Linked DNA regions of Macaca fascicularis. The protein of the gene in region 2 binds, or shares a complex with, the protein of the main gene of each other region. Links are inferred from orthologs where the notes say so. Each region holds a gene or a part of one and is shown on either strand. Other genes may lie near its edges. The genes, in order: ARHGAP35 and RASA1.

Evidence for each region.
Region 1: the proteins of RASA1 (region 2) and ARHGAP35 are in contact, whole or in part, in a crystal structure (PDB 8DGQ), measured with the Homo sapiens proteins. The link is inferred for Macaca fascicularis from reciprocal best matches to the Homo sapiens genes RASA1 and ARHGAP35. Residues at the interface, in NP_002881.1 of Homo sapiens: Arg188, Arg207, Ser209, Arg211, Val217, Asn228, His229, Phe230, Arg231, Ile241, Gly242, Tyr256, Leu262, Leu263, Lys264, Lys358, Ser379, Asp380, Asn381, Ser387, Gln397, Arg398, Phe399, Lys400, Met411, Gly412, Gly413, Arg414, His425, Tyr426; in NP_004482.4 of Homo sapiens: Ser1085, Asp1086, Tyr1087, Ala1088, Glu1089, Pro1090, Met1091, Asp1092, Ala1093, Val1094, Val1095, Arg1098, Glu1100, Asn1103, Ile1104, Tyr1105, Ser1106, Val1107, Pro1108, His1109.

The regions. Positions count from the first base shown.
Region 1 is NC_088393.1:54,850,566-54,854,977, forward strand, and holds the start of ARHGAP35 (rho GTPase-activating protein 35), read left to right. Parts: upstream 1-1,405; 5' UTR 1,406-1,624; intron 1,625-4,412.
Region 2 is NC_088380.1:91,254,811-91,259,168, reverse strand, and holds the start of RASA1 (ras GTPase-activating protein 1), read right to left. Parts: upstream 3,027-4,358; 5' UTR 2,460-3,026; coding exon 1,942-2,459; intron 1-1,941. UniProt on the Homo sapiens protein: Inhibitory regulator of the Ras-cyclic AMP pathway. Stimulates the GTPase of normal but not oncogenic Ras p21; this stimulation may be further increased in the presence of NCK1.

The DNA.
Region 1 (4,412 bases), on a different chromosome or scaffold from region 2:
AAGCTTTATTAATGGAATAAACAAGCCCATGTAATTTTATCAACGCTTACAGAGCGCTTACTATATGCAAGGCCTGATTTCCAGAGCTTTACAAAATATAATCTATTTAATTTTCACAGCAGCCCTACGAGAGAGGTATGATTATTATCCCATTTTATAGATGAAGAGACTTATGGCAGAAATGCCAAATGTAATAGGAAACAGCCTTTCTTCATGCATTCCACAAATATTGGCTTGGCGCCCGGGAAGCTCATCTTCCACGATCTGTACTTCCGGAGGAGTCCCAGAGGAACACCTCCTCAGTTCAGAGGAGTCAAGGGTTACAGCGGTGCCCTCTCCCATCACTACTCTTTTCCTTTCAGGCGCCCTAATTGACATTTGATTTGTAGTCATTTGCACAATGCTAAGTGACAGGCTTGGGCTGCACACAGTACCAGGCCGTCTTCCCTCTCCTGGGGATCAGGCGATCACAGAACCAAAAACAAGTTGCAAGGACGCGCGCGTTGGCTGCGGATTTTCTTCACAGCCAGGAGAAAGAGCACGCGCTCTCCATCCCCGCCTCTTCTTCCGGGACGACGAATTGCGGGGCTCGGATTGGGCTGAGGCGGGCCACGCCTCCTCATATCCTCCAATCAACTCCCTCTCTGGTGGGCTCCCTCCTTCTCAGCCCCGCCCCACCGCCCCACGTTACGTCGCTCCTTCTGGCCTCCTCCGTTATCCCGGGGGCTGCGGCTCGCGCGGCAAACCCACCTCCCGTTGCTTCCCATTGGCTGCTCAGGTCCCGCGCGAGCGGGATCGCGCCCTTCGCCCCCCACCCCCAAAACCGGGCCATGCCTCTCTCCTTCGGCTTTCTCCAGAAGCCAGCGCGAGGTGGCAGATCGGCTGCTTGAGGCGCGCGCGGAGACGCGCGCTCCTCCTGCGGGCCACTCCCTCTGCCCTGCGCCAACAGCTGCGCTGGCTGGCAGCCCCCCGCGCACGCGCGCTCCCCCACCCCGCTCCCTCTGCTCGTTTGCAGCTCGCCTAGAGCTCAGTCACGACGGCGGCCGCCGCAGTAGCTGCATTTTTGGGGGTGCACGCGCACTGCACCGTCCGCGGCGGTTCCTAACCTCAGGCAGCGGCGGTGGCAGTGAGACCCTCGGGTGCGCACGCGCTCTGACCTCTCCCCACTGCCTCGCTGGTCGTCCCTTCGCGGCGCGCGCCCAGGGGCCGTTATCCCCCTGCAACGGTCCACGCGCCGCGCACGCGCAGTAGCGAGGGGGCGCGCGCGCGGGAGCGGCCGTCGCAGGAAGGAGGTGCAGCCGCTGCCGCCATTGCGAGTGAGGGAGGGAGGGAGGGAGGGAGTGAGCGAGGCTGGTCCGCCCTCCCCCTGGTTCCCGCCCCTCCCCCCTTCCCCTCCCCGCCCCCCGCCCCGAGGGAGAGCCGCGGCGCGGCGGCAGGAGGAGGTGGAGGAGGCGGAGGAGGGAACCCGCGAGGGAGGGTCCGCCCGGCCCCCCGCCGCCGGAGCCGCCGCCGCCGCCGCCGCCTCAGCAGCCGCTGGACTAGGAGCAGGGGAACATGGCGCCGGGGCCCCCGTCGTTGCTGCCGGGATCCTGGAGGCCGGGGCCGCGCTGAGGGCGCCCAGCTGGTGAGTGCGCGAGCTCACGGGCCCCGGGCGGCGAGGCCGGGCGCCGCCCCGCTGAGGGGTCCAGGGGGAGGCGGGGACGGCGGGGCCCGGAGCCCGCGAACAATGGAGGAGCTGGAGGGGGAGGGGAGGAGCGGCCCCCCCAGCTCCCCGGGCCCCGCCGTCCCCGTCGCTTCGCGCGTCGGCCCGGCCCGTGGGGCCTTTCTGCCCTTTGGACCTACCCCTGCCCGCCGCAGCCCTGCTGTCCTCGCTGCCGCCCCCACCCCCGATCAGTTGGGATCTCGGTGTCTGCCTCAGAGCCTCTCCGACTTCAGCCATCCGGCTCCCAATTCTGCGACCCCCTTCCCTCTTCCACCCCTCCATAATGCCCTTCGCTCCTCCCGGGCTCTGCAGTGCTCTTGGGACCCACCTTTTTCTCATTGACCATTCTGCATCCCTTAATTGTGGCTCCCACTTTTGAGATCCGTGACCCTTCTGCTTCTTCTCGATTCTGCTCTCACCACCCTTCAGATCTGTCCTCGGCCCCTTCTTTGACCTACCTGCTGTGCTATTATTCTTGTCTCAGAATATGTTGCACCCTGGGAGCTGTCCCTTTAGGACCTGCGGTTCCAACCCCTTGGAGATCCATCTGAGACCCCTGTTCAACCAGGCACTGCTGCCCCAGGTCTTCCCCTTGGACTTAATCCGGTTCCCTCGTGGGCCCTACTATCTGCATTTCTGTCTGCCCTCTCACAGAGCCTGCTGCACCCCGGGATGCCCCTCGGCTGGCCTTCTGACCCTTCCGTGCCCCAGTTCATTCCCCTGATCCCCTCGGACTTGGCTGCACCGTGCTTGCCTCTTCCCCTTCTCAGCTCTTGTTACCGTTTGCCATTCAGACCCTTTCCTCTCTTCCATACCTTTCTGCCTCTTAGCTCTGCCCATTGCCCGACCTCAGATCTTGCTGCGCTCCCCTCACCTGCTTGCTTCTGACTGCCTTCCCGGGAAGCAGCCTCCTCCCGCTTCTCTGACTCTGCAGGTCTCCCATTTCTGCTGTTCACTCAACTGATCTCTCCCTAACTCAGACTGCCTTCAGTTTCAGCCCCAGTGTTCTCTTGGAGGTTTCCTGTTTCCCCCACCTCCTTTTTGGCACTTCTCTGAGCTACTGCATGCATTTGCTACTCCTTTCTTTGGCCTGTATCTCCTTCAGTTCTCTGCCTAAAAACTGCTTCCTGTCCCCTTTGCTCCAACTCCTCTCCTCCCCGTTTTAGCCCTTAGACATGCCCTTTAACGTCACTATACCTCTGATACCTCCCGGGCTGGTCACCCATCCCCTTCCCGTTGTGCATCTCACAGACCTGCCCCTAGATCCATTTTGTACCTGCACTTTCTCCTCGTTTTTTTCAATTCTGCCCCATCCTCTATTTAGTGTTTCCCTCCCCAGCTCGGCTGTTTCGGAGCTGTCCACTTGCCCGCATGTTTTTAGACCGGTTTTTAACTTCTGTATTGCCGTCCGCGCTTGGAGCGGTCCTTTAACACTGGGGTTCTTGTCACTGTGTCCCCTCTCTGTTCCCTCCCGAGTCTTAAGTTTTCCACATGACATTCTCTTCCCCCCACCATTTTGATTCAGCCTTCACCCTTCACTCTGCTTTATTTGCCCCCCCGTCCACTGCCCTGCCTCTTGTCTTCTTTTGGAGTTCTCACTCCCTCCAATTGTGACATTAAGATGTCTTCTTAATCATTCTTTCCTATGTATCCCCCCCACCTTCCTCTTGGAGCTGCCTCAGTGCTGTGATAGATTCTCACTCCCCTTACTCACCTTTGATATCCCTCTCCCAATTCTGTTCGTCTTGGACTTGTTTCCTTCCTCACCTTTTTTTTTTTCCCTTTCCCCTTGTATCTTGGCAGGCTCCTCTTCCCATTTAGTTCCTATCAGACCTGCTCATCGCAGCTCACCACCCGTGGCCCACCCATTCCCCATTGAGCACTTCCCCTTTCAGGCATGTCTTTCTCTGTTTTCCATCCCTCTGCTGCAGAGGCAAAGGGGCTGGATTGGGCCTTAGGCTCTCAGGCTCTGAGACTGCAGATTCTCTCTCTGCACCCTAACCCTGAGGGTTCTATCCCCAGGGATCCTGAGAGATCTGGGTAAATAGGTGGGAGTTGGTTGATTGTTACTGCTCTGTGGAGTCTGGGAGTGTCTCCCCCATTTCTCCCACTTCCACTAGGTTAGTAGTGTGGAGGGAGGTAGATCTCTTTCCGTTGCCCCATTTTCTTTTCTCTGCTGTTTGCTCTCCCCCTTCCGATTTCTGGGCTCTGCAGCTTTGTGTCCTTTGGAAAAGGGGATTGCAGCTGCTCACAGATCTTTATTCTCTTTCTCACTTTCCCTCTTTCCTTCTCTGAGCGGTTGCATACAGTACCCTGTCTCCTATTCCACCTCTAAGCCAGCACCCCTAGGAGTGTGCTTTTTTTTCCCCCAGCTGACAAGTCATTTTGTTTTACCTCTAGCTGGGGAAATGCCAGTTCTCAGATTCTCCCGATCCCACTGGGGGTTATGGCCACACTTGGACCTAGGGAAGCTACAGTCTTGCCTTCCCTAATGGCCTCTGGTTTGCAGTGTGACCTTGGGGGAGGGGATGGGGAAGGTGGGCTTATTATTTCTTTTTCACCTCTGCTCCAGGGAAGGCTCCAGCTTCCTGGTCTTCAAAATGGTGAGGGCTTGGGTTTGGAAAGCACTTTGCGGTTGTTTGTTGAAAGAGAGAGTGCCAAGTGTCACTCAGATTTCTGCCCTCTGGTATTGCAGGCTCTCCCTGCCACA
Region 2 (4,358 bases):
TAATACTGTGTGTGTGTGTGTTTTGTTTGTTTGAGACAGAGTTACACTCTTATTGCCCAGGCTGGAGTGCAATGGCGTGGTCTCGGCTCACTGCAACCTCCGCCTCCAGGGTTCAAGCGATTCTCCTGCCTCAGTCTCCTGAGAAGCTGGGATTACAGGCACCTGCCACCACACCAGACTAATTTTGTATTTTTAGTAGAGAGAAGGTTTCTCCATCTTGGTCAGGCTGGTCTCAAACTCCCGACTTCGGGTGATCCACCTGCCTAGGCCTCCCGAAGTGCTGGGATTACAGGCGTGAGCCACCGCGACCGGCAAAATTGGAATTTTTAACACTCCCTGAACACTCCCAGGGACTCTGCATTACAATGACATGAAATAAATTGTCGTGTAAAATTTGAACAAAACTCTGACGCAAGACTTGAACCCTTTATTGAGGAATATAAAAGGTGGAACACTACATCCCTATAACATGGCTGGCATAAATATGACTAACTTTACTTTTCCACTTTAAGTATCAAAAGATGTAGCCTTAAGTCAAAAATAGATGAGGGTAACAGAATCTTTTCCTAGTTTCAGTCCTTTCTAAATGCTCCAAAGAAGCTTATCCAAAAAAAAAAAGGCCGGGCACAGTGGCTCACACCTGTAATCCCGGCAGTTCGGGAGGCTGAGGCCAAGCCGACCACCTGAGGTCAGGAGTTAAGATACCAGTTTGGCCATATGGCGAAACTTCGTCTCTATGAAAAATACAAAAATTAGCCAGGCATGGTGGCATGCACCTGTAATCCCAGCTACTAGCGAGGCTGAGGCAGGAGAATCTCTTGAACCCGGGAGGCAGAGGTTGCAGTGAGCCAAGACCATGCCACTACACTGCAGCCTGGGCAACAGAGCTAGACTCCATCTCTTGGGGGCAATGGAGAGAGGAAAAAAAAAAAAACCTCTGAATTGTCCAGAATGACTGTCAACATATGAACCAAATCTTTCTTTCCTGATATTCACCAAGGTTGTTAAAATTCTAAGGGTCAATTAAGAGTTATACGAGAAACCTATAACAAGTTTTGCCTAATACCACTTCCCATCGCAACATTTTCATCAAGGTCCACCTTTATGAATAAACACCTAAGTTCAATTAAGACAAGTGAGGAGGTATTAACTTACATTAAAAAAAAAGTCATTGTCCTGTATATTCTACTTAATTTTCAAATAGAATACTATACTGGCCACCAACAAAAAATGTTTAAGGGAAGCTCTGTTAATTTTGTTTTGTCTCACTGTTGTACTTCCAATGTCTCGACTATAAAAGCTAAGTGGGAAGCCTAGGGAAGAAGATACATTGTTGAAACAAAGGCGCTTAATCACACCTATAATTCACAGTATTCCTTTCCTTTCTCTCTGACCCAAGTTCTCATTAAGTGACCCACAGACTCTTCTAAACATCACTATGCTTTCTCTAATCAGAAGCTGGGATGTGCACTGAAATAAATACATTCTAACCAATACATTTTTCAAATTACTAATACAATACTCGTTTAAATATTTGTATTCAAAATTTCTCACTAATCATCTAGCTTTATCAAGTAACACAAACAGGTTAATATACACTATGACTGCCTTGGTAGCCGCAGTTTGACTAAATCCTGGGACACCACTTCAACTTGGAAGGGACAGAACCATATCCGGTTCTCATCAGATACACATTTTCTCATACTTTCCATCTTAAAAACTTTACACCTTCCCAGAAGAGCAATAAATGTAGGAAGACGCCAGGTAGTATGCCTGTAAGGAAGATAAGTGATCAAATTAAATTCCTACGCAAGAAACCTGAAACTTCAAAAACTTTTCCTAAACAAATCACAGATGAAAAAGACAAAGTATGGTTTACCCCATTTCCACTTCTTTTCTGGAGCCAGCTGCCCAAATTCCTGAACAGCAGTCTTAACTTACTGGTTAGTTGGAGGAGCGGTCAATGGTATGGCCACCTCTTCCTCCTCGTATTCTGGTCCATCCAGAGAGTCACCTTCGTCCACTGTCCCCAGGCCCGCCCCCAAAGGGGGCAGGTAAGGGGGAGGGGGCAGAGGGGGAAAACCGCCGCCTGGCCCGAGAGTCTCAGCAGGCAACGAAGTGGGCAGCTTGGTGAGAGCCATGTCTCCACTAGGTCCAGCGACAGCAGCACCGGCCACGCCAGCAGCAGTACCTCCCCCTGTCAGTCCGGCTCCCCCCAATGCCCCTGTCATAGACCCGGCTCCTAGGAACCCTGACCCCAAAGCGGCTCCGCCACCCAGAGTTCCAGCCACTCCAGTCTCCACCAGCCCAGGATAGGGGGCGGCTGCCACAGGCAGGGCCGCGGGTATCTTCACCCGACACACTGCGGGATAGGCACTGGAGCCCGCTGCCGCGCCGCCTCCTCCAGCTCCGGCTGTTACCGGGCCGCCCTCCTCACTGCCGGCCTCGGCCGCCATCATGTTGAAGCCCGCTCTACTCTGCCCTACCCTGCCCGCCCGGGAGCCCCGGGGGCCACCAGGCCCGGGCTCCGAGCCGCCCCACCCAGACGCGTCTCCCCTTCAGCTCCCCAGGCGGAGGAAACAACAACAAAAGGAGAGAGCCCGCCGCCGCGCCCCCTCCTAGGGCCACAGCCCAGGCTCCGGAGCTGCTTGGGTTACGGGAAGCGAAGTGGGCAAAAAACCCAACGCCTGCACAAACGCCACCCAAACCTCACGGCACACACCCACACTCACGCACACAAACACATGTACAGAAGCGAAAACTTCCTGGCTGCACTAAAGAGGAAAGGAAGCACAGGGAAAGAGGCTTAGGTGGCTATCGCTCCTTCAGCAGCCACCACCGCTTCTTCACCACCCCAGTTCCGGCCACCCACACCGCAGCCACCGCCGGTGCCGCTGCTGAGGCTGGGGCCACTGCAGCCGCTTCATCCTCCACCAGGCAGATGAGAGGGGTGGGGACAAGAGAAAGGGGGGCGGGGTAACAAGGAAATCGACTGAACTGCTCACTACCTGGAGCTCTCAGTGACTGAAACCGTAGAGAGAGAAAGGAAGGCGGGGCAGGGGAGGAGGGACGGAGGGAAGGAAGGGCGGAGGAGGGAGAGGGCAGCTTGTGCGCAGGCGCGTTCCCGGAGCGGGGAGCGGGGGGCGGGGGGCGGGGGGCGGGGGGCCGGGCCTGGAGGAAAAGGAAGAGTCCAGAGGGAAGGAAGCGGCGGGGACGCGCGGTGCGTGGTCGCGCTTGCTGTCCTACTCCGGTTCCTAGCGTGCGGCGGCGCGGCCGCATCTCCTGTTGGCGTGGCCGGCGGCGCGCGCCTGTCTCCCGGGGCTTTGTTTGATGGGCGGGAGAAGAGGGAAGGGTACCTGAGCACGCGGGTGCTCGGCGCTGTGAAAGCCGGAGAGACGAGAGGGGGACCGGGAGGCGGCGGAGAGGAAGAAGGGGGAAAGGGAAAGGAAAATGCCTAGAAACTAGTTCCGTACTTCCTGACCGGTGGAAGAAACAGCCTTAGCCAGCAGCGCAGAGACCATGCAGGAGTCAGGTAGCTTTGAAGATCGGGGCAGTACTAAATGTTGTCTTTTTCGTTGCATGCTATAAATCACCATGACTATCTCACACACACACAGATAAAATAGATTCTGAAACTCCGAAACGAAATAAAGGGCACCATATGAGAAGGGTGGGGAATTTTGGTAGAAATAGTGGTTATGAAGTAAGATTTCTACTAGTATTTGCATAGGTTTTTCTTTATCAACTGTCTCATATACTTACCTATGCTATTATAAGTCTGTTGGATACTGATGAAGAGGAGGGGGTGCCACAGAAAACACTAATCAATGCACTTTTGTCCTCTGTGTGCAAAAGACTGCAGGGTGTGATCCGCAATGCAAGCACCTTCAACAAGTCAAATGTCAAGAATGTCCCAGAATGCCAGTTACAATTATATATCGTTTCTAAAGTAGCAATAAACTGAAAACTCATTTTTAATACAATTAAGGAGAAGAGTGTTATTTTGTCTTCTACACTAAAATGTATACAAACTATTACATGCATTCATGTACAGGGAGCTTCTCATGGTTTGAAATTAACGGTATTGTTATTTTAAATTCTCCCAGTAGTAATCCCACGTTGAATACCATTGGATATTGATCTTTGAGATCAGTATTTTCTCTGCTAAGGATGATCAAGCCAACACTCCGGATGGCAAGTGGTTGTGATAGAAACAAAGGAACAAGAGAAAAGACCACTAAAAGAGGTGGCAAGATACAGGCAATGCATTTTCTTTGTAAATTTGCGTAGGCCTATTTACCTAGTCGATGACAACGATCCAACTTGATTAGGAGTAGTCCTGGGACCTCCATTATGCT